Neurospora crassa OR74A: one gene and its partners. The protein of the gene in region 3 purifies or fractionates together with the protein of the main gene of each other region. This does not show direct contact. Links are inferred from orthologs where the notes say so. Each region holds a gene or a part of one and is shown on either strand. Other genes may lie near its edges.

Region 1 (6,350 bases), on a different chromosome or scaffold from region 3:
CCCCGCCATTAGAGGCGCTTCCTGGCACTTCGCTCATGAATGCCGGGGGTGGCGGGGCCAGGATACGATTCTTCCGGGGTACGCTAGACGGTTCTGGTGAGGCTGCCGGTGGCCTCGTGTTAGGGACATCTGGAGGCGCATCGTCGCCAGGCGAAATAGGCCCGGAAATCGATCGTTGAGCGCTGGCCGCATACCCAGAACGCACCGAGCTGACTGTGTTTGACCGAGTGAGATCAGGCATCTCGTTAACATGGCTCGACGATGTGGAAGGCTTAAGCAGCGTGTTGGCCAGCTCTTGTCGTTCTTGCTTATATTTTTTACGCTCCTCCTTGTTCAGCTCCCCTGGACACTCGGCCGGTACCTTCATCTCGCATTTGCTATGGCAAGTATACCCGCAGTCTCGGCAATCGAAGCCCTTGGCTGACAAGCCCCATATTCTCTCTCCGCACAGATCGCAGTTAGTGGGAATCTTGAAGGTTTGCGACTTAAAATTGTGGCTCTTGGCACCCAGTGTCACGTCACCAACGGCTGAAGTAATGGTGGACGTCTCGACCTCTGCTGTCAGCCGCTTCCGGTCGACCTGATGCAGGTCCTCTTGCTGCAAGAAGAGCTGCGTGAGAACCAAGAACTCATCCTGTGTTTGCTCTGTCCCTTCAAGCACCCTCTGCTTCGCTCGCTTGGTTGTTTCCACCTCTCGCCTCTTCTTATCTACCTCACGCCGCAATTCTCCAAGTTGGCCCTTTGACTTATTCAGCACATTGCGCAAATAGATTTTGGCTGGCTCGTCCGTAACCATGGAATCGTCATCGTGCCATACTGGGCTTGGCTCAAACACCTTGTCGGGAGGCTCCTGGAAGGCACCGGTGTTGTGCTGCATGTACATCATCGAATCTAGCTGAGGTTCATTCCGCACAATCTCCTTGGCCATGTGGTCAACCTCACCACTGCAGTTCTGAAGCATGGAAAACTCAAGCTGAGTGGCTTCGGACCAAAACCCGTTCAACTTCATTGTGCGGAACTCGGCAAGATCTTGCAGGTTGTCCATAACTTCGGGAAGGAATTCGTGGTAGTGCTTCTCCTTTTGCTTGTTGGTAACGTTGATGGCGATCAGGTAGGTGTTCTTCATGTTGTTCATCTCTTGTAGCTGGTGTTGAAACGAACTCTGCGCCTTTGCCTTGTCGAATGCCGACTCTGACTTTTTGCGTTTGCTCTCAACATCCTGGCATACCGAGTCGTACTTGGTCTTGACCTTCTGCAGTGCGGCATACTGGGCTTCTTTTTCTTTTTCTAGCTTTTCGGCATATTCGACTTGGCGCTTGCGTTGCGCGTCCAGTTTAATGGCCACTTCTTTGATCGGTTCCGCAATCTTGGTGACAAACTCGTTCGCGAGTCGATCGTGTTCGCTGGCGACCAGTTCAAGCTTGGTTAGAATGGTAGACCATGTAGTCATCGAGGCGCTAGTTACACGGAAACCGGTCAGTTAGCTGGAATAGAACACCTAGGCAGATGTGACCATGTTCCAAAGAGCCTTGTCGTACCTCTCAAGGGACCCAGGGGTCATTGTGGGGGTGTCGCCGACACTCAGGCTCGTTGACTTTTTGGCTTTCTTGTCATAGTACTTCTTTGCTATTGCGCTCAGCTCGGCGCTATATCGCTTCTCGGCGGCGCTCCTTTCACGGAAGAAAGCCTGCACATCGTCAAAGAAGGCAATGTTGTTGGCCACATAGACATTGGCCGGTTTAAAGCCATCCTGCATGCGGGCATGTTAGTCCAAGGCCACCAGCACATGTTCAAGCCTCTGAGTAGGCCAGGAGAGATGAAGACAACCTTGAGCACGGTGCCAAAGGATGGCGCGATTTCGCCCTCGGCCATAGTTTGTTGGAGGAGCTTCTTTTAATATTGAGAGTTGTCGTCGTGGATAACCATGCAAACCAGTAGTCGGGTATACATGCAATCTAGACTTCGGGAGAGAATGAGTGGGACTGCTCCGTCGGCTGTCGTCGTGTCTGAATCGATGATGAATCGTGCTGTGCTGGTCCTGGGTATGTACAAGTAGCGGCAGGAACCCGTTGGGTCTTTGGAGGAATGGGCGGGACTGGCGGAGCGTTTGAGTGTTACTCCAAGCAGAGATAGAAGAAGCACGGCAGATACAGCGTTAAAAGAACAAGCAACTAAGTAGTAGAGCAAGAAAGCAAGAGACGGTAGGAGGTACCCCTCCAACAGCTGAAGGTGTGCTATGTAATCGTTCGGCTGGTTATCCCGGTCCGTACACCGTAGCCCGAGCAGCCGGCAAGACCTGAGTTGGGTACCTACCTAGAGGTAGGTAGTAATGATAACTGGGGTGCCGGTGGCTAACCTCGAGGTACTCAATTCAAGAAGGCCCCAGCTGTGCCGTCGGACCTGCGGCTTGGTCGGTGCTAGTGCGGTCTAGGCAGTATGCGTTAACTGCATGAAGATTGGTTCCGAAGAAGCATTCGTTCGTTACGTAACTCTAGGGATATGTTAGAGGTAAGAATTGGAATTCAAAAGACGGAAAGAGAAACCTCGTTTGGCCAAAGAAACAACTGAACTAAACACCTATGGACTTAAAGCCTCCTTAAAGAGACAGCGGGCGGGACCCCGGCCACCTGCACTAAGCCACCCGCTGCTGGCTCGTGCTTTGACCAGGCATTCTGGCCTCCGGCTTCTGCCAGGGCATCAAGCGTTAATTCCAGGGCAGGTACAGTACCAACTACACTACGGCACTACTTCTACACTAGAGGTAGAACAGCAAGTAGGTACGTATACTGCGTACACTAGTGTAGAGGAAGGTGCAGATGCCCCACTATCACTCTGGTTTGATGGCGTCGCGACTTCCTCTCAAAGTCAGCCCTGCCGCTGCCAGAATCTCTTTCTGCCAGCTTCCTTTTCCTTTCGCATTCCTTCTCCCGCCCACAAACCACTGCTGGCAGTTGCTTTGTGGTTACCAACAGCTCAAGATTTCCATCGGATCTCTTAAAAGAACATTTTGTTTACTCCAACAATAACTCCCTCCAAGGTAAGCTTGTCAGCTTGCGCCTCCCCGTCCTTGCGGCCTGGGCCTGACGCGTTGAATTGGGACGCGGGGCATCAAGACCTGACGAAGCGCAGCTTGAAACTTGACTCACCCACGTCTCGGCTTCTTGCTGTAACCGGAATATCCAAGGGGGGGCGAAAAAAATATAACGTATCGTACTGACCGTGCGATTTTTGATTCTTGCTAGCAGTCATCCTAATTACGACGTCATAATGGCTGATCTCGCCAGCCGCATCACCAAGCCCGACGAGGCTCCGGCTGCCGCCCCCGAGGCTGCGCCCGTGTCTGCCCCTGCGTCCGAAGAGCCCAAGGCCCCCGAGAACGAGACCTCCATCGAGGAGAGCCAGAGCAACCTTGTCAAGAACGAGTACGAAGTCGAGATTAAGTTGAGCGATCTTCAGAATGACACCGAAAGTCCTCTCTACTCCGTCAGCTCGTTCGATGAGTTGGGTCTCCCCGAGGCTGTCAACCGCGGTCTGCTCGCCATCAACTTCAAGAAACCTTCCAAGGTCCAGGAGAAGTGCCTTCCTCTCATGCTCTCCGACCCTCCCCGCAACATGATTGCCCAGTCTCAATCCGGTACTGGAAAGACTGCCGCTTTCGTCCTTACCGTTCTCTCCCGCATCGACCTGTCCAAGCCCCACCAGCCTCAGGCCCTTCTGCTTGCTCCCAGCAGAGAGCTTGCCCGCCAGATCCAGACCGTTGTCCAGACCATCGGTCAGTTCTGCGAGAATTTGATTGTCGAGGCTGCTATTCCCGGTGCCATCTCGCGCGAGACGGGTGTTAGAGGCAGCGTCGTCGTGGGAACTCCGGGAACTGTCATGGACCTTGTCAAGCGCAGGCAGTTCGATATCTCGCAGTTGAAGGTTCTTGTTATTGACGAGGCCGACAACATGCTTGACCAGCAGGGTCTGGGTGACCAGTGTGTCCGCGTCAAGAAGTAAGTTCATCTTTGGGCACTAGTGTTATGCGACCTTTACTGACATTAAGTAGCATGCTCCCCAAGACCATTCAGATCCTCCTTTTCTCTGCGACGTTCCCAGACAAAGTTTTGAGATTCGCCGAGCGCTTCGCACCCAACGCCAACCAGATGAAGCTCAAGCATAAGGAGCTTACGGTTAAAGGTATTTCGCAGATGTTCATGGACTGTCCTACCGAGAAGGACAAGTACGACATTCTTTGCAAGCTGTATGGTCTCATGACCATTGGTTCTTCCGTCATCTTCGTCCGGGTATGTTTTTTCCCCTCGAATACTGTTGTAGACATTTGCTAACGTGCTTTCTTCCAGACGAGAGAGACAGCCAACGAGATCCAGAAGCGCATGGAAGCAGATGGTCACAAAGTTTCGGCCCTTCACGGCGCCTACGAAGGCCAAAGCCGTGATGTTCTTCTCGATGAATTCCGCTCCGGACGTTCCAAGGTCCTCATCACCACCAACGTTCTGGCACGTGGTATTGATGTTTCCAGTGTGTCCATGGTCATTAACTACGACATTCCGATGAAGGGACCTGGCGAAAGGGAGCCGGACGCAGAGACATACCTTCACCGTATTGGTCGTACCGGTCGTTTCGGTCGTGTTGGTGTCTCGATCAGCTTTGTCCACGACCGTAGGAGCTTCGAAGCGCTCTCCCAGATCGCTCAGTTCTACGGAATCGACCTTATCCAGCTGAATCCCAACGACCTGGATGATACCGAGAGGAAGGTGCAAGAAGTTATCAAGTCGAGCAGGGCCCAAGCGGAGTACGTTCCCAGCGCTACTGATTCGGCCGTTTAGGTAGTTGGCCGATCAATGAGTGTTGAGGGGGAGTCGTCGTCGTTGAAGTCGTTGAAATCGTTCTTCTCTTCGGCGCCGCCGCCGCCGGAGACTCAGCAGTTTAGCGGATGGTGGTGAGCTAATACACAAGGAGTTTATCAACTGAACCATCTAGCGTAGGCGAGGGATCATGTCTTTTCATCGTTGCTGCGACATCAAGATGTTGGGAAGCCCAGAAGGAAAGGGTATGTGGGAGTGAACTCATGATGCGCATATTCCGTCATTCAAAATGGGAATCGGGAGTTTAGATCAAAGAGATACCAACAAGGGGCGAAAGATAAATAACTTTTGCAGTCAGCAAGATTGCTCAAGACGCGTTCGATACTACCCGACGTTGATACACCGGTAGACGCCAGGGTATCACGAAAATGTCAAGTGCATTGTGTCTCGTATGGAAGGGGGGGCAAAGAACGCTTATCTCAACCGCCGTGCTATACATTTATGCCCACCTCACGACGAAAGTCACAACACGTTGGGCTCAGCATCGCCCTCGGTACCATAACTTTACTTCGTGGTCCGAGTCCAGCTGGATAGTGGCGTAGTTCCCCTCCCTCTTTTTGTCTCCAGTCGTTGGGAAGCTGTTTACTCAAGACTGGTAGCATGTGGATGTGGCTGTGCAGTGCATCATGGTGGCTTGGGGGATGAAGACAACCTCAAGGCAGTGTGGTGTACAGAACCACTGGATCGTTGAGGCGAGTTTCGTGGCTGGTGAGAATCTGGGGGCAGTACCCGAACGGGAATAGCGTTGTTGATTTGTTAGCGCCCACCACCCTTAGGCGTGTCCGGGGTCCAGCCCACAACGAAGTACTTTTAAGCGCCGACCAAGCGCGTGTCCGGCGTCAACCTCTTACTCGCCCACCTCTTCCCAGCTCCAAGCCTTCACAGCCATACATCTATCTGCGGATGTTGTTCCTGCATACCACCTTTGGCCAGTCGACTGGAGAACCGTACCAGCCATGTGCAATCCCGGATACTATGGCGCCCGAAATAGACCTGCCATCTTTTCAGACCAATAAGAGGACGGCGGACCTGGATTTCGCCCAGGACAAGTGCCTCTCCCCAGATCGCTTGTTCCTCTTCGCGGCTCCATTCGTCAGCCGCCTTGTGCAAGGGACATGAACACCGTCGAAGCCCTGCCTGCAATGGAACGTCTCTCATGTCCTCCAAGCAATGATGCCATAGCGAGAGGTCCAATAAACCCCAGTTGGCGATTGGGGCTCATCAATTATCGGGTACAAGGTACTCACTACTCACGTCCTCAGGCAGGTTCAGCGCGTCTCTGCGGGTGAACGGCATGGGTACGACTTCAGAGTTATTGGCCGCGGCCAGGATGGCGAGGAGATTGCCGGCATCGTTAAGCGCAGCACACCGGGACTTTACTGCTTTTGACTTTGAGATATACATCATGATGGCATGGCTCGTGAGTTCAGGAAGTCTGGTTACCTTGTAAAGGACCCCGAGTGTGACACATGGCGTTCAAGC
Region 2 (6,380 bases), about 4.8 Mb from region 3:
CTTAATGCCACTTACATGGAACATGAAAAAGAAAGCAGACGGGACGGTACTTTACTGAAGTATTAACAACTTCAAGTCCGTCTTATAAGAAATTTCACTGATACCCACCGACGTTCTGAGTCACAACAATGATGCTCTACGTCTCGGTTTTCAAAATGAAACTCCTGGCAGTCGGTACCTATATGTACAGTTCGGCAGTCCGATATGTATGATATTCACTCGACATCATATGAAGACAATATATCGAAAAAAACAGACACATGAACTCCCTTCCAGATGTAATGAACCCCTTTTTGGACTGTGGCCATTACCTTGAACCCATCTTGTTTATTGATTTTTGCTTCCACAACCTAGAATAAGTGGCCTAGCCCAGCCTAGCATAGCATAGCCTTTTTTCTTGTCTCCTAACCCATCCCAAAGCCAGACAGACAGACAGATCTCAGCTACGTAAATTAACATCATCGATCCCCCCCCATCCACAGCCACGATACATATACAAGACGTTTCAAATCATACCATGATGGTCTTTCACAGACTAACAAAACAAACCAACAAACCAACAAACCAACAAACTAGGGTAGGTAGGGTACTCAAAACTGAACACACACACACACACACAGACAAGTTCGCCGCCATCCGATTCTTCAGCCTCTTTCTCTTTCTCTTTCACTCATACTTCACTTTACTTTAGCTTCCTACAATACAGCATCATCAAAGCCCATTTATTTCCCTTCCCTTCCCTTCCCTTTCCCTTCACCTGTTCACACCACCGGCCCTGTACGAGCGGTAAAAGCTCTGAGCGGCATCCGACTCGTTGACGCCTTGGTGGGCACCCATGCCGCTGGTAGCCTTTTGGGCAGCGGCCACCTTGGCTTGGAGGTCGGCGGCGTTTTGGTCGATCCACTGAAGCTGGTGAAGGTGACCGTTGAGGACACGGACGATTTGGCTGAGCTGTTGTGTTTTGTTTATCGTGTGCGTTAGTGATTGGATAAAATAAGGGAAAAATGGAGAAAAAGGAGAGAAAAAGGAGGAGAAAAAAAAGGGAGAGAGAAAAACATACCGGATCATCAGGCTTGCTCCCCTTGCTCAACGTGCCCGTCATATCATTTATCTCCTTGATCATCTTGGCCAAATCCTTGCCCATCTCATCCAGCCTATCCGTCAGCTTCTCGGCAAGCTTATACGTCCTCTCGCGCTCCTGATCGGGGCCCAAGCCGTCGCCAACACCGCCAGCAGCCTTTGACTCGCCGCCGGATCCAAGCTGCTGCTTCTTGAACAACTCCTCCAGCTGTGCCTCGTACTGGTCCAGCCACGCGGTCAGCTCGTCCTGCTGCGACTCGACGCCCGAGAGCTGGCGCTCGATCTCGTTGCTGGCCTTTTCGGCCTCGTACGTGCTGGTGTACAGCTTCTGGATCTTCTCGCCGTTTTCGACCAGGAGGCGGTCCCATTCGGCCACCTTGGCGGCTTGCGACTTGAATTCCTTCTGGTACTTGGAGAGATCGGTGGCCCAGCGGGTGATGATTTCATCCATGGTCTTGTTCTTCAACCGCGGGAGAGTAGAAGTGGGGCCGGTGGTCGTGGAGGCGAGGTTGCCGGTGGTGCTGGTGGTGCCGGCGGCAGTAGTGGTGTTGTTGGTGGTGGTTTTGGAGGTGGTGGTGTCCGCAGGCTTGGCTCCTCCTCCAAAGAGACTGCTGGTGGTTCCAGCAGTGGCGGTGGTGCTCCCACCGGCAGTGGTGGTGGCCGCTGTGGTAGTGGCGGGCTTGGTGGTGGCCGCACCGAAGAGGCCGCTAGTTGTGGTCGAAGACGAAGGAGCAGGCGCCGTGGTTGTGGTCGTCGAAGGCGTAGTCGATCCAAACAAGCCTCCTGATGCTGGGGCAGTAGAGGTAGTGGTAGCATCCTTGTTGGCGCCGAACAGACTGCCGGAAGCAGCAGTGGTGGTAGAGGTGGCAGGAGCTGAGGTAGCAGGAGTGGCGCCGAACAGACCACCCGTAGCTGGCTTTGCGGCTTCGGCCGGCTTGCTTGTGTTGGCACCAAAGAGGCCGGAAGTTGCTGGTGCTGTGGTGGTCGTGGTCGATGTCGTAGCCGGGGTTGTCGAGGCTCCGCCAAACAGGCTGCCACCGCTGGTCGCAGGCTTCGCGCCAAAGAGAGTAGATCCGGAAGTGGCTGTCGTCGCGGGAGTTGTGCTGGACGCAGGCTCGGCTGGCTTGGCGCCAAAGAGACCAGAAGTGGTGCCAGAGGTGGTGGTCTCGGCTGGCTTCGCTCCGAACAGAGATGGTGTTGTTCCCGAGGTGGGGGCAGGGGTTGTGGTCGGGGTACTCGAGGCTCCTCCTCCTCCAAAGAGGTTGCCAGAGGCAGGCTGGGTAGCACCAAAGAGAGAGGGCGCGGCCTTGGAAGCGTCAGCAGCAGGTGGTGCACCGGCTGGGGTAGTCGATCCTAGTCCAAACGAGGTCTTAGCCGGCGTCGTCTGAGAGTTGGCGCCAGCTCCGAAGAGACCACCGGTAGCCGGAGTAGTAGAAGCATTGTTTCCAAACAGACCTCCCGAAGGAGCTCCTGTTGCGGGTGTGGTGCTGGCCCCGCCACCAAACAAGTTCGAGCCACCAGCGGCGGGGGTTGTCGATGTGTTGGCAGTGGTGTTTCCAAACAAGCCTGCGCCAGGCGTCGTGCTGCCTCCTCCGGCAGTGTTGGAAGCAGAGCCGAAAAGCGAAGGTGTAGTCGAGGTGGTATTGGCTCCGAATAGTCCTCCAGGTTTCGAGGCATCTGTAGGCTTAGCGCCAAACAAGCTACCGGCTGGCTGTGTCGAGCTCGCTGCTGGGGTGCCGAAGGAGGAGGCTCCGAAGAGACCACCGGATGTAGCAGTTGTTGCTGGTTGGCCCGAGGCCGCGCTGGAGCTTGGTGTACCGAAGAATGACATGATTGCGATTATGTGAGGCTGACGATATGATGTCGAGGTTTCGGGGTTGGTTGGTTGGATGGATGGATGAGGCGTTGGTGGTTGGGTAGTCGTCGTCAACCAAAATCTAGAAAGTCAACAACAGCGTCCCACTTCCCAAGGCTGTTGCGGTTACCTCAACAACAACAGGGAGCGCGCGGAAACCCAAGCAACGATTCGTTGAAATGCGAAGAGGAAGATCGGCGCGATCTCGGTTTTGAGTAAGTGATGCAATGGTCCAGCCGTGGTTATCGGATCGCGAGTTTTGGACGTCGGTTCGGAATCCGTTTGGTGGAGTGGACGTGGACGTCGTTTGGGCGTGGATTGGAGAAAGCAAAGAAAGTGTGGCAGCGTCACTCAGTCTCTCGGTCTCTGTTTGTCAAGGTTCCGTCCGTCGCGACAGGCCTTTCCACTTTTTTGGAGGTGCTGCAGCGCGCCTGGGCTTTTCCCCTTCTGGGGACCCGGACGCGCACTCAACAAGGCCAAGCATTTCCCGCTTATTGGAGCACTCCAGTCACCACTGCAACGAGTCAGCCCCAGGTGAAGTGGTCAGCCTCACCTCACCTACCCCGTCTAACATTTTACTAGCAAGTGCCAAGCGTGCACGGCCAATCAATATGTGGCTTGACGGCAGTTCGACAACTGACGGAGAACTTGAGCAATGACGGGGCGGGCCTCATAAACTGAAGCGAAGTGCTGACTTTCCACTTGCCGTGATGCTCTTCTGCATTCTGACTGGACCGTCTGGTTGCAGCACATTACGCAGCGAGTTACCATACAGTTTCCGGACACGGCGGTACCTTAGTACCATACCGTACCGTACCGTACCGCACCGTCCCAGGGTAGCCGAGCAAGAAGCAGGAGCCCCGTTCAGTCGTCTCGGAAAGCTTGGGGTGGTGGTTACCCCATGTTCTAGATTAGGCCATCGTGAGCCCATCCTCTAGACTAACTCTAGGCCATCCGGAAGCTGTTCCTTTCTCTCGTCTCTCTCCACACACATTGCTGTCCATCGTCTGGACATTGGGATGCCACAAGTCAGCCGCAACGTCTGTGTGCATACCCAATCTTGATTCAGTTCACTTTGACCTCAGGCCATCTGCTGCGTGCAATTGACCTATCTCCTGCAGAGTATAAGAGTCGGCTTACTCCCGTCTTGTTATAGGACACTCCAGTCCTGTCCCTCACAGCAGTAAACATACTGTAGCACCCCACACCAACTACATCACTCCTCAGTCCTCACCTTGGCCCCCCGATCCCCGATCCCGATCCTCCCATATCCATATCCATATCCATATACATATACATACACCTATCTTGCTTCCTACCTACCATATACATTTCTGCGCTTCCTTCAGCACTCACCATAGTCGGAAATCCTCTTGTTCTTTGATCGTATAGACCGCCGCGACTACGCTTCGAGATCACAATGGCTTCGCGCAGGAACAGTCTGTCGCCTCCCGAGAGGCAGGGGACCATGGACCCGGGCGCTCATGAGCTACCTGGTAGGTTACAGCTGATGGGGAACTTGGGAGACCTCTGGACAAAGTCGGCACATGGATATCCAACTAACCATTCATTCTACGCGACAACAGGCTCCGACACCGAAGATCACTACTCCGATGCCATCTCTTCTCCCAAAGCTCCCTCCTCGCCCATCCCGCGAACAAGAGTCGAGAGAGTAGACGACAAGCCGGCGTATGGAGAGGTCCCGGGGACCAAGGCGTATTCTATGAGGGAAGGGGACGCGAAGCCGGATGAATTTGCCATTATCCCAGACCCAGACACCAAGCTCTCGACCGAGGAGCATGACCAGCGCCGGCCGTCCACTCCAGGCGGGCGCCCCATTCCCATGACCGTAGTGGAGGAGACGCCAGATAGCACTGGTGCCGTCACCCACCATGAGATCGAAGCGAGGCACAGGGTTGACAGTCCTCCCGACGTGCTTGTCAAGGCGGATGGGCAAAAGGTCGAGCATGAGAAGGGTGGTGACAATGGTACGGATGCGTAGCACTTCTTTCTAGCCACACACACACGCGCGCGCACACACACACACTTTCACAAGCACATGCCTGTTTGTTTGTTTTTTTTTGAGCCAGCAAATTATACAAGATCTCCTTTGTATTGACTTTACGTTTTCCTGCGTAGATACACCAATACCACCTGCATTAAAGAGTCCCGCCTCGATCCATTCTAGAGACTCGTCATCTGATCTAGACCAGCCATCCCCTGACTCGCCCTCATTGGGGCCCAGTCTTCTAGAAAAGGAGGAGGCAAAAGATGACGCGCACGACAATGTCGTACGAGACAACGCCAAGACCGCCGACGACGAAGACGCCGATGAAGATGAATCCAAGAAGGAGGAGGAGAATGTAGAGGTCAAGACTGAGCAGGCTCAAGATGGAGAGGTGGAGGACGAGAAGCACGAGGAGGAACAGTCAAAAGACCGCGACACCGAAGAAGCATTGAAAGGAGACGAGTTCGAGGATGCCAGCGAAGAGCTTGAGACGCAAGATACAAAGGAAGAAGACACAGAGGACCACTTCGACGAGGCAGAACCCAGTCAAGAGAACGAGAAGAAGGTCGAGCCAGAAGAGGACAAGAAGGACGATGTCAGCTTTGACCAGAAAGAGGAGAAGCCTGTTGAAAAAGATGGGTTCGACAACGACGACGACGACGGATTTGCTGAAGCAGGGGATAAAGCCCCCGACGATGACGGGTTTGGTGATGACGACTTTGGGGACGACTTTGCTGAGCCAGCTCCGGCTGGCGCCGATGACTTTGGGGATGACTTTGACGACTTTGAGGAGGGAGCCGAGGCCAACAACGATGCTGACTTTGGCGACTTTGACGATGCCGGCTTTGACGACGATGACTTCCAAGAAGCCGAAGGGTTCTCAGCTCCAGCACCTGCTCCTCAGCCGCAACCACAACAACCGCAGTCCTCATTATCCTTCGTAAGTCCCCAACCCAGTTACTCCCTCTACGTCCAACACACACTAACATATCCCCTAGCAAATACCCGACTTCACCCACCTTTCCGCGTCCGAGATCCTCTCCCTCACTTCCCCTTACCTCAACGCTCTCTTCCCTCCCTCCCCCGACACCGACGGCGACGACTCCTCCTCCTCCCCCATCCCCACCCTCAATGTCTCCAACGGCATCACCGACCCCATCTTCCAACACCCCCGCTCCGCCTCCCTCTGGTCACAGCTCGTCGCCCCTCCCCCACTCCAACCCCCCGACTGGATCCGCTCCCGCATCCGTCGTCTCTTCCTCGTCTCCCTCGGCGTCCCCGTCGACCTAGACGAGATCCTCCCCGCTTCCAAACAAAAGAAACTCGTCTTGCCTTCGTTAGGCGACCCCGACGCAGCAGACGACGAACGCACAGGTCGTTCGCGACGCGCTAGCTCTGCCGCCGCTGCCTTCCGCAACAACCAAAACAGCCAAAACC
Region 3 (6,351 bases):
ATCTCTTCGGCACTGTCTCGGTATTCACTGAATACAATGGCTCTGGTATTGGAGCCCTCGCCAGCATCCATGAAGTGGTTGACCAGGGTCTCACAAAGATATTCCAGCTTGGGGTGTCCGAGGAACCCATCAATCTTCATCCAACCCTCAATCATGTCCATCATCTTCTGAAAGTTCTCATCCTCCAAGACTTGCCGCTTGAGCTTTGACCCTTTTCCTCCTTTCTCCTCCTCGGTGGTGCGGAATTCGGCCAGATTATTGTAGAACGGTTTGATTCCATGGAAGTTGAGTAGTTTGATGGAATGCGCCAAACTCTGGAGAATCGCAAATGTGGCTATGACACTGAATTTGGTTCCTTGGTTTACGTGCCTACCCGGACCTGCCATCCAGTCATTCCTGGCTTTCATCAGGCCGTAGGTAGTCAGGCTCATGGGGTCCCTGCCGTAGTATATATTTTGTGAACTCAGCTTGGTCACAAGGGGCTTCAGGGCCTTGGAGAACAAGTCTCTGACTTCCATCATTTCGTCAGAGGGGTCGAATGTTATCGTGTTGATGTCTCTTGAGTGCACATATTGACGAATGTCGATTGACTCTTCGGTTCTGATCTCGACGTGAGAAATGCCCAGATTATCAATGACGTCCTGAACACCTTCGAGAGACGATCCTGGTGTAGCAGTCAGAGCAAGAATTCGAAAGCTCTTGGAGAAACGCCTTAAAAATTCGACCACCTTGACGTATGCATAGTCTCCAGTCGCACGATGCGCCTCGTCAATAACCAGCAGTACGATGGACTTGGGATCGGCATAGCCCTTGGAAAGGTCATTCATTAGTGTTTGGGGTGTCATGAAGAACAGGCGCTTTGTTGCCCATTCGTCCTCACGTAGAACAGGAGGAGTCTCTCCGGTTAGGAGAGTCGCCTGAGATCGCGGGATGCCCGCTATGCTGAGACATGCTTGAACTTGTTGTGAAGCAAGGGGTTTCGTAGGAGCAACAAAGACAGCCTTTGCGGTTTTTGTCCAGCGGATGTAGTTTAGCATGATTGTCGCAGCAATAAATGTCTTTCCCAAACCCGTGGGGAGGGCGACCAATGTGTTGTTGAAGAGGCCATTTTTGACAATGCTGAACTGGTAGTCTCGAATAGGTCCCAGATTCATCGGATAAACCCATGTTTTCATTTCTTCTATGTCAATCTCATGGTGAGTGGGCTGCTCTGGGGGCATATCGGCACGGAATGGTCGATTCGACACCGCTTGCGGGGCGGGTTGCGCATCCTCCTCCAGCGTGCCACCCCATAGTGTCGTCTGACGCAGATTCTTACGCTGGCTGGACTGAGCTAGGGACGGGCGAGACGTTGTCGCTGACGTGGTCGGCTTGCTTGCTGTTTTGGCACGCCCTGTAGCTGTAGCCTGACCCTGCGATACGGTTGGAGTAACGATTCGTCTTGCAGAATCGGATATTGGCCACGCTTGTGCTGGTGGTTTTGCCGACGAGGCAAGCTGCTTGCTGTTGCTGGGGTGATGTGATGTGATGTTGCCGGTGGCCTGGGTGAAGGCCAACATCAAATCCTCATCAGGAATATCGTCAAAGTCATCGTCATCCATGACTTGAGAGTTGTGAGGTTGTAGAAAAGAAAGAACCTTGACGATTCGAGATTCGATGCGCCGATGCTTGGGCAGTTAATACAACCGGACTTTGTTTTCTTGCCTTTTTTTTTTAAACTTCTTGTTCTGGTGATGAAACTTAAGGCTTGTCGGATGAAATTCTTGGAAGTGAAACAATTGACATTCATAACAGTCCGTTTGCATAGGTGAACCGACCCTATCGTCACACAAGCCCGGCCTGATATGAGACGCGTCGCTGTTTTAATGGACGGGCTATTCCCTTGACACGTTCCATCGCCATAGCACGTGAATTGGTGTGGGCAGTCTGGGTGCTGCCGCCTGGGGAGTTCGCAGCAGAACAGCGTCAGAGTGGGGCTGTTGCATCTTGGGTGGGGCAGGTTTGCGTCAAAATCCGATCGCTTGTCTCTGTGGTCCGCTGGAGCCTGGCGCACTGGTCGGAGCTTGGCTCATTGCCTTGAGTTCAAGTTGCATGCTCCTCCACTGCCGCCGCTAAGGTATTTCCTTTTTGGAGGTCCGGCAGGCTGAACCTTCTTTCTTCCATTCTCCAATCCGTCATCGAAACCTTCCTCATTTCTCGACCTTCTCGCGTCGTCAGTTGGCATCGGCAGCCCAACAAACTCTTCAGTACTGACCGGCTGATGACTCTTGCGCATCCTCGTACTCGCCCGTTGCTTCAGAGCTAGCAGCTTCCGTACGCATATTCAACCAACGATCACGAGCGAAGCGGCGGCCTTCTACTTCTACTTCCGTACCTTTGGATCTCCGCGTCGTCTTTGTCGCCCCACCTCCAAGCATCTTTTACATCTTTCTTTACCTCGACAAATCCCTTTAGAGAAGCGCACCTAGACTCTAAGCGAAGTGTCCTTTGACACCTATCTGGGCCACTCTCAAATACAGCGTCCCAAATCCACCCAGCGGTGATCAATCCCCGGTCGGCATCGGCCGCCTGTTTTTCTTGAGCAGGCCGCTCTCCCGCCTAACGGCGACACCAAAGGTAAGCCTCGACTCTGCATCTTAGTACCCTTCCCCAGTTCCCCCGACCACGACCGGAACTTTGACCATCGGGGCAGCGAAGAAGTCGGCGAACAAGGACAACTCGCAACTCCACGACTCACTGTCCTTTCATCAACAACTCGGCGAGAAAAAAAAATCACCCGCAACTCACACCGAACGTTTTCTCTTCAGAATTCAACGAACAACCATGGCACCTCCTACTGGTCCTCGCGCCGGAACTGGAAGGGCTCCTCCTCGTGGACCCCGAGCAACAGGCGGCGGTGGCGGAATCCAGAAGCGTCGCGCAAACCCGAGGACGGACCGAGATGGAGATGTGTCAATGGATGCTCCGGCTGGTGGCTCTGGTAGGGGTGGGTTGGCTTCCGGTGGTCGAGGACGTGGCTCCAAAGATGCTCGAGGTGGAAGAGGTGCGGTGAACTCCCGGACAGCATCCCGGGTCGTGCAGAACCTACAGAACTACGTCAGCGGAGGTCCCGTCGGCAAAACACAGTCCAATATGGCCACACTGAAGATTCACGGTATGAGCAATAGCAAAGCTACCGGCAATCGCGATGGAGGGCTTCGGTCACTTCTCACCTTTCTGGAACGAAAGGCTTCCAAAGACAAAGCAGTTACAATCGGCAAGGTATACTTTCCCATCCACCGACATCCCCAAGCGCGCAATATTCTGCAACTGCGATAACCGACACCTTCTAACCCATCGATAGAGTATAATGGACGGCGATTATGTGTGGATCACGGTCAGAAAAGATGACGCCCCGGAGATCTTGAGGCTCAATGGCTTCACCTATGCCGGTGCACCCCTGACGATTACGGAAACCACCGAGAGGATGCCTCGCCCCGAAGACAAGATTTCCAAGGCTGCTGAGGAGACCAAACAAAAATTGACAGCAGTGCTAGCTGCGCGCTACAATCCAGAGTTGAAGCTGCTTGACTTATCTTCTCTTGGAACCGATCCCATCCTCAGCAGCATGGGCACGTTTGATTCCAAGGATCGGGCCGAAAAGGCCTTCAAGGTCTTGGTAGTTATTGCTAGTCAGCAGTACAAGACCGCTGCCGAAAAGCGTGAAGGGATACAGGCCATTTCCCTTGCTAGCAACGGCCTTAACGACGTCATGCAGGTTTTCACGCTTGCTACGTCACTTCCAGATATCAAGAGACTTGACCTGAGCAGCAACAACCTCGACAGTCTGTCCAAGATCTCCAAGTGGCAGCACCGCTTTCAGTACCTCGAAGAGCTTCATCTCACAGGCAACCCCATCACCACCCAGCCCGACTTCGTGGCAGAACTCATCAAATGGTTCCCATCGCTACAGAACATCAACGGACAAATTGTTCGCAGCCCACAAGAGGTTACTGAGGCCCTCAAGGGCATGCACCCCACGCCACTACCGCAGTTCCCCTCCAACCTACGGGACGGGGAGGCCAATGTGGCGAGCATCTTTGTCCAAGTTTTCTTCCCCATGTTCGACAGCGACAGAGCTCGCCTCGCCGCTGAGTTCTACGACGACGACTCGTGGTTTTCGATTCAAGCCATTGCCAATTCTGGTCGTAATCTTCCTTGGAAAACTTACCTCAAATACTCCCGCAACGTTCACAAATTGGGAGAGAAGAATCCAGCAACGGTACAACGTCTCTTCACCGGAGGAAATCTCATTGCGGACATGTGGAAGGCTCTCCCCAGTACTCGCCATCCAAGCATGGAGAACCCTGGTGCCTGGCTCATCGACTGCCACACCTTCCCCAACCTCGCGGACCCCACCGGCCACGGCTTCGCTACGGGATTGCTCATCACCGTCAATGGCCAGTTTGAAGAGTCCGATACTACAGAAAACCTCTACGGAAAGCGCACCTTCACGCGCACGTTCATTCTTGGACCCAGCAAGCCGAGCAACCCGCCGCCGGTGCACCCATACCGGGTTATTAGCGATCAACTCACCCTTCATGACTGGACACCCGCGGAGACACCTGCTGGTCAGGCCCCTGTCGCCAACCAGGTCCCGCAGGTTCCGGTTACCAACGCTGTGCCTCCAGCAGAACCTGTCATGTTGGATGATGCCACGAAGAACCAGCTGATTCAGGAGGTGATGAAGCGGACTGGCATGACAGCAGAATACTCAGAGTTGTGTCTCAGTGGCACTGCCAACTGGAACTTTGAGCTGGCACTCAAGTCATTCGAGGAGCAGAGGGCGAACTTGCCGCCCACGGCCTTTATCAACGCTGTCTAGGGGACAGCGCAGGTCACCAGCGTCAGCATGGTTTGTTAGTTCATGGTGGATCAGCGCTAGTTGGGTAAATACCCTCTGCCTGGATGAGTTGGAGACAAAGGAAAAGGAAGACAAAAACTACTGAAAGCCAAGGAACGAAGACTGGGAAAGAGGAAAGGGTTTAAGGGTCAAGGATGAACTTTGTACAATACTTGCATTGCCATACTATCTCAAGGGAGCAACGGAATGGGTCGGTTAGCGGAATTCTTATAAGGCGGTCACTCGACTTGATATTGCGGAAACTTAGCGTGCGTTAACAATTGAGATACCTGGAGCTCTTTTGGGCTTTGACCAAAGAGTCTCCCACATTCACGGTTTTTTTTCATCTAATTATAATCTCTTTTATTAATATTTTCTCCTATTTGGGTGAGGACGCTTACGGAAGATGCTCGAGCGTAATTGGTACACAACGTTCATGCTGGTCAGGCCCAGTAGCTTAACCACCGTGAAATTGGTAACCACGGTTGTGATAAAGTACGAGATCACACAGCTAATAAGATCTCGAAGCCGCGCGCCATTCTTGGCGATTGGGGTTTGGTGGTGAGCATCTGATTGTTGGTTTCCCCATCATGCGACGTTTCTTGAATCGCTGCTCCACTGCGGCCACTGCCACCCCGGCAGTGGATCGGTACCTGCATCTGTCGATCTTTCATAGGGCGGCTTTGGGAGAAAAATGCTGAGTGGTCCTGGTACGATGAGCAGTCATCATCACCTGTTTGGCCTCGTCCAATGGGCGCCGGCAAGAGTTTTATCGGATGAGGGGTAGTATGGGCGCTTACTTGTATTGATCTTGGTTGTTACGACTTACGATGGGGAAACAATCATGTTCGACACTTGAACCTGAGTGAGAGCCAGGAATAAATTTTCCGTTGAGGATTGGCTTTTTCTACGCTTTTCGCTTTTCGGCGATCGGTTAGGTGATCGGTTATCTATCATCAGTGGGAGTGATCGACATTTCATATGCTGGCTAAAGGTATGTGATCGATTAGATGAAAGACGACCAAGCGGATGTGAATACTTATATAATCGCGGGAGTTGCGACTTGTCATCCTTCAATTGAAGCCTTGTGTTGAGTAAGTGTGAGGTAAGGTAGTTTTCTCCAGCCAGAACCCATCACTGCATTCCAATGGTCGGCGAAAGTTGAGTTTCTATTGATCCTTTCCGTACGCCAGGACGCCATTCCTCGTCTCGCATTGCATTCTCGCCCACAACATGCGGCACATATAAAAACGTGTGTGACAAGTGTGCGTGTGCGTGACTGCGAGAGACGTGACCAAGTAGATACATGTGGGGATTTTGTACCTCAGTCTTGCTTGTTGTAGTGTAGGTTTGCTGCTGGGTAGGTGGATGAGAACAATCTCAGAGACTTCCTTTATCCTAATTCAAATAGCGATAGTTAGAAAGTATACGGACAAGAGAAGGCATCGGCCAAGATGCAGTTGGGCAGC

The links.
Region 1: the proteins of NCU09317 (region 3) and NCU01160 purify together in Saccharomyces cerevisiae (affinity purification with western blotting; 3 studies listed by BioGRID, with this or other methods). This does not show direct contact. The link is inferred for Neurospora crassa OR74A from reciprocal best matches to the Saccharomyces cerevisiae genes MEX67 and DBP5.
Region 2: the proteins of NCU09317 (region 3) and NCU02808 purify together in Saccharomyces cerevisiae (affinity purification with mass spectrometry; 3 studies listed by BioGRID, with this or other methods). This does not show direct contact. The link is inferred for Neurospora crassa OR74A from reciprocal best matches to the Saccharomyces cerevisiae genes MEX67 and NSP1.

What each region holds. Positions count from the first base shown.
Region 1 is NC_026505.1:3,083,674-3,090,023, reverse strand, and holds NCU01160 (ATP-dependent RNA helicase dbp-5), read left to right. Parts: upstream 1-2,675; 5' UTR 2,676-3,037; intron 3,038-3,242; 5' UTR 3,243-3,267; coding exon 3,268-3,995; intron 3,996-4,048; coding exon 4,049-4,286; intron 4,287-4,343; coding exon 4,344-4,829; 3' UTR 4,830-5,747; downstream 5,748-6,350. Other genes in the region: NCU01161 (actin polymerization protein Bzz1), read right to left, coding at 1-1,457, 1,539-1,750, 1,828-1,872; NCU01159 (hypothetical protein), read right to left, coding at 5,748-6,005, 6,123-6,275. UniProt on the Saccharomyces cerevisiae protein: ATP-dependent RNA helicase associated with the nuclear pore complex and essential for mRNA export from the nucleus. May participate in a terminal step of mRNA export through the removal of proteins that accompany mRNA through the nucleopore complex.
Region 2 is NC_026501.1:9,051,135-9,057,514, reverse strand, and holds NCU02808 (hypothetical protein), read right to left. Parts: upstream 3,519-6,380; 5' UTR 2,912-3,518; coding exon 1,061-2,911; intron 952-1,060; coding exon 754-951; 3' UTR 404-753; downstream 1-403. Other genes in the region: NCU02809 (hypothetical protein), read left to right, coding at 4,356-4,431, 4,522-4,923, 5,075-5,883, 5,942-6,380.
Region 3 is NC_026501.1:4,263,985-4,270,335, forward strand, and holds NCU09317 (hypothetical protein), read left to right. Parts: upstream 1-2,089; 5' UTR 2,090-2,616; intron 2,617-2,692; 5' UTR 2,693-2,823; coding exon 2,824-3,261; intron 3,262-3,343; coding exon 3,344-4,864; 3' UTR 4,865-5,249; downstream 5,250-6,351. Other genes in the region: NCU09318 (ATP-dependent DNA helicase mph-1), read right to left, coding at 1-1,601. UniProt on the Saccharomyces cerevisiae protein: Involved in the export of mRNA from the nucleus to the cytoplasm.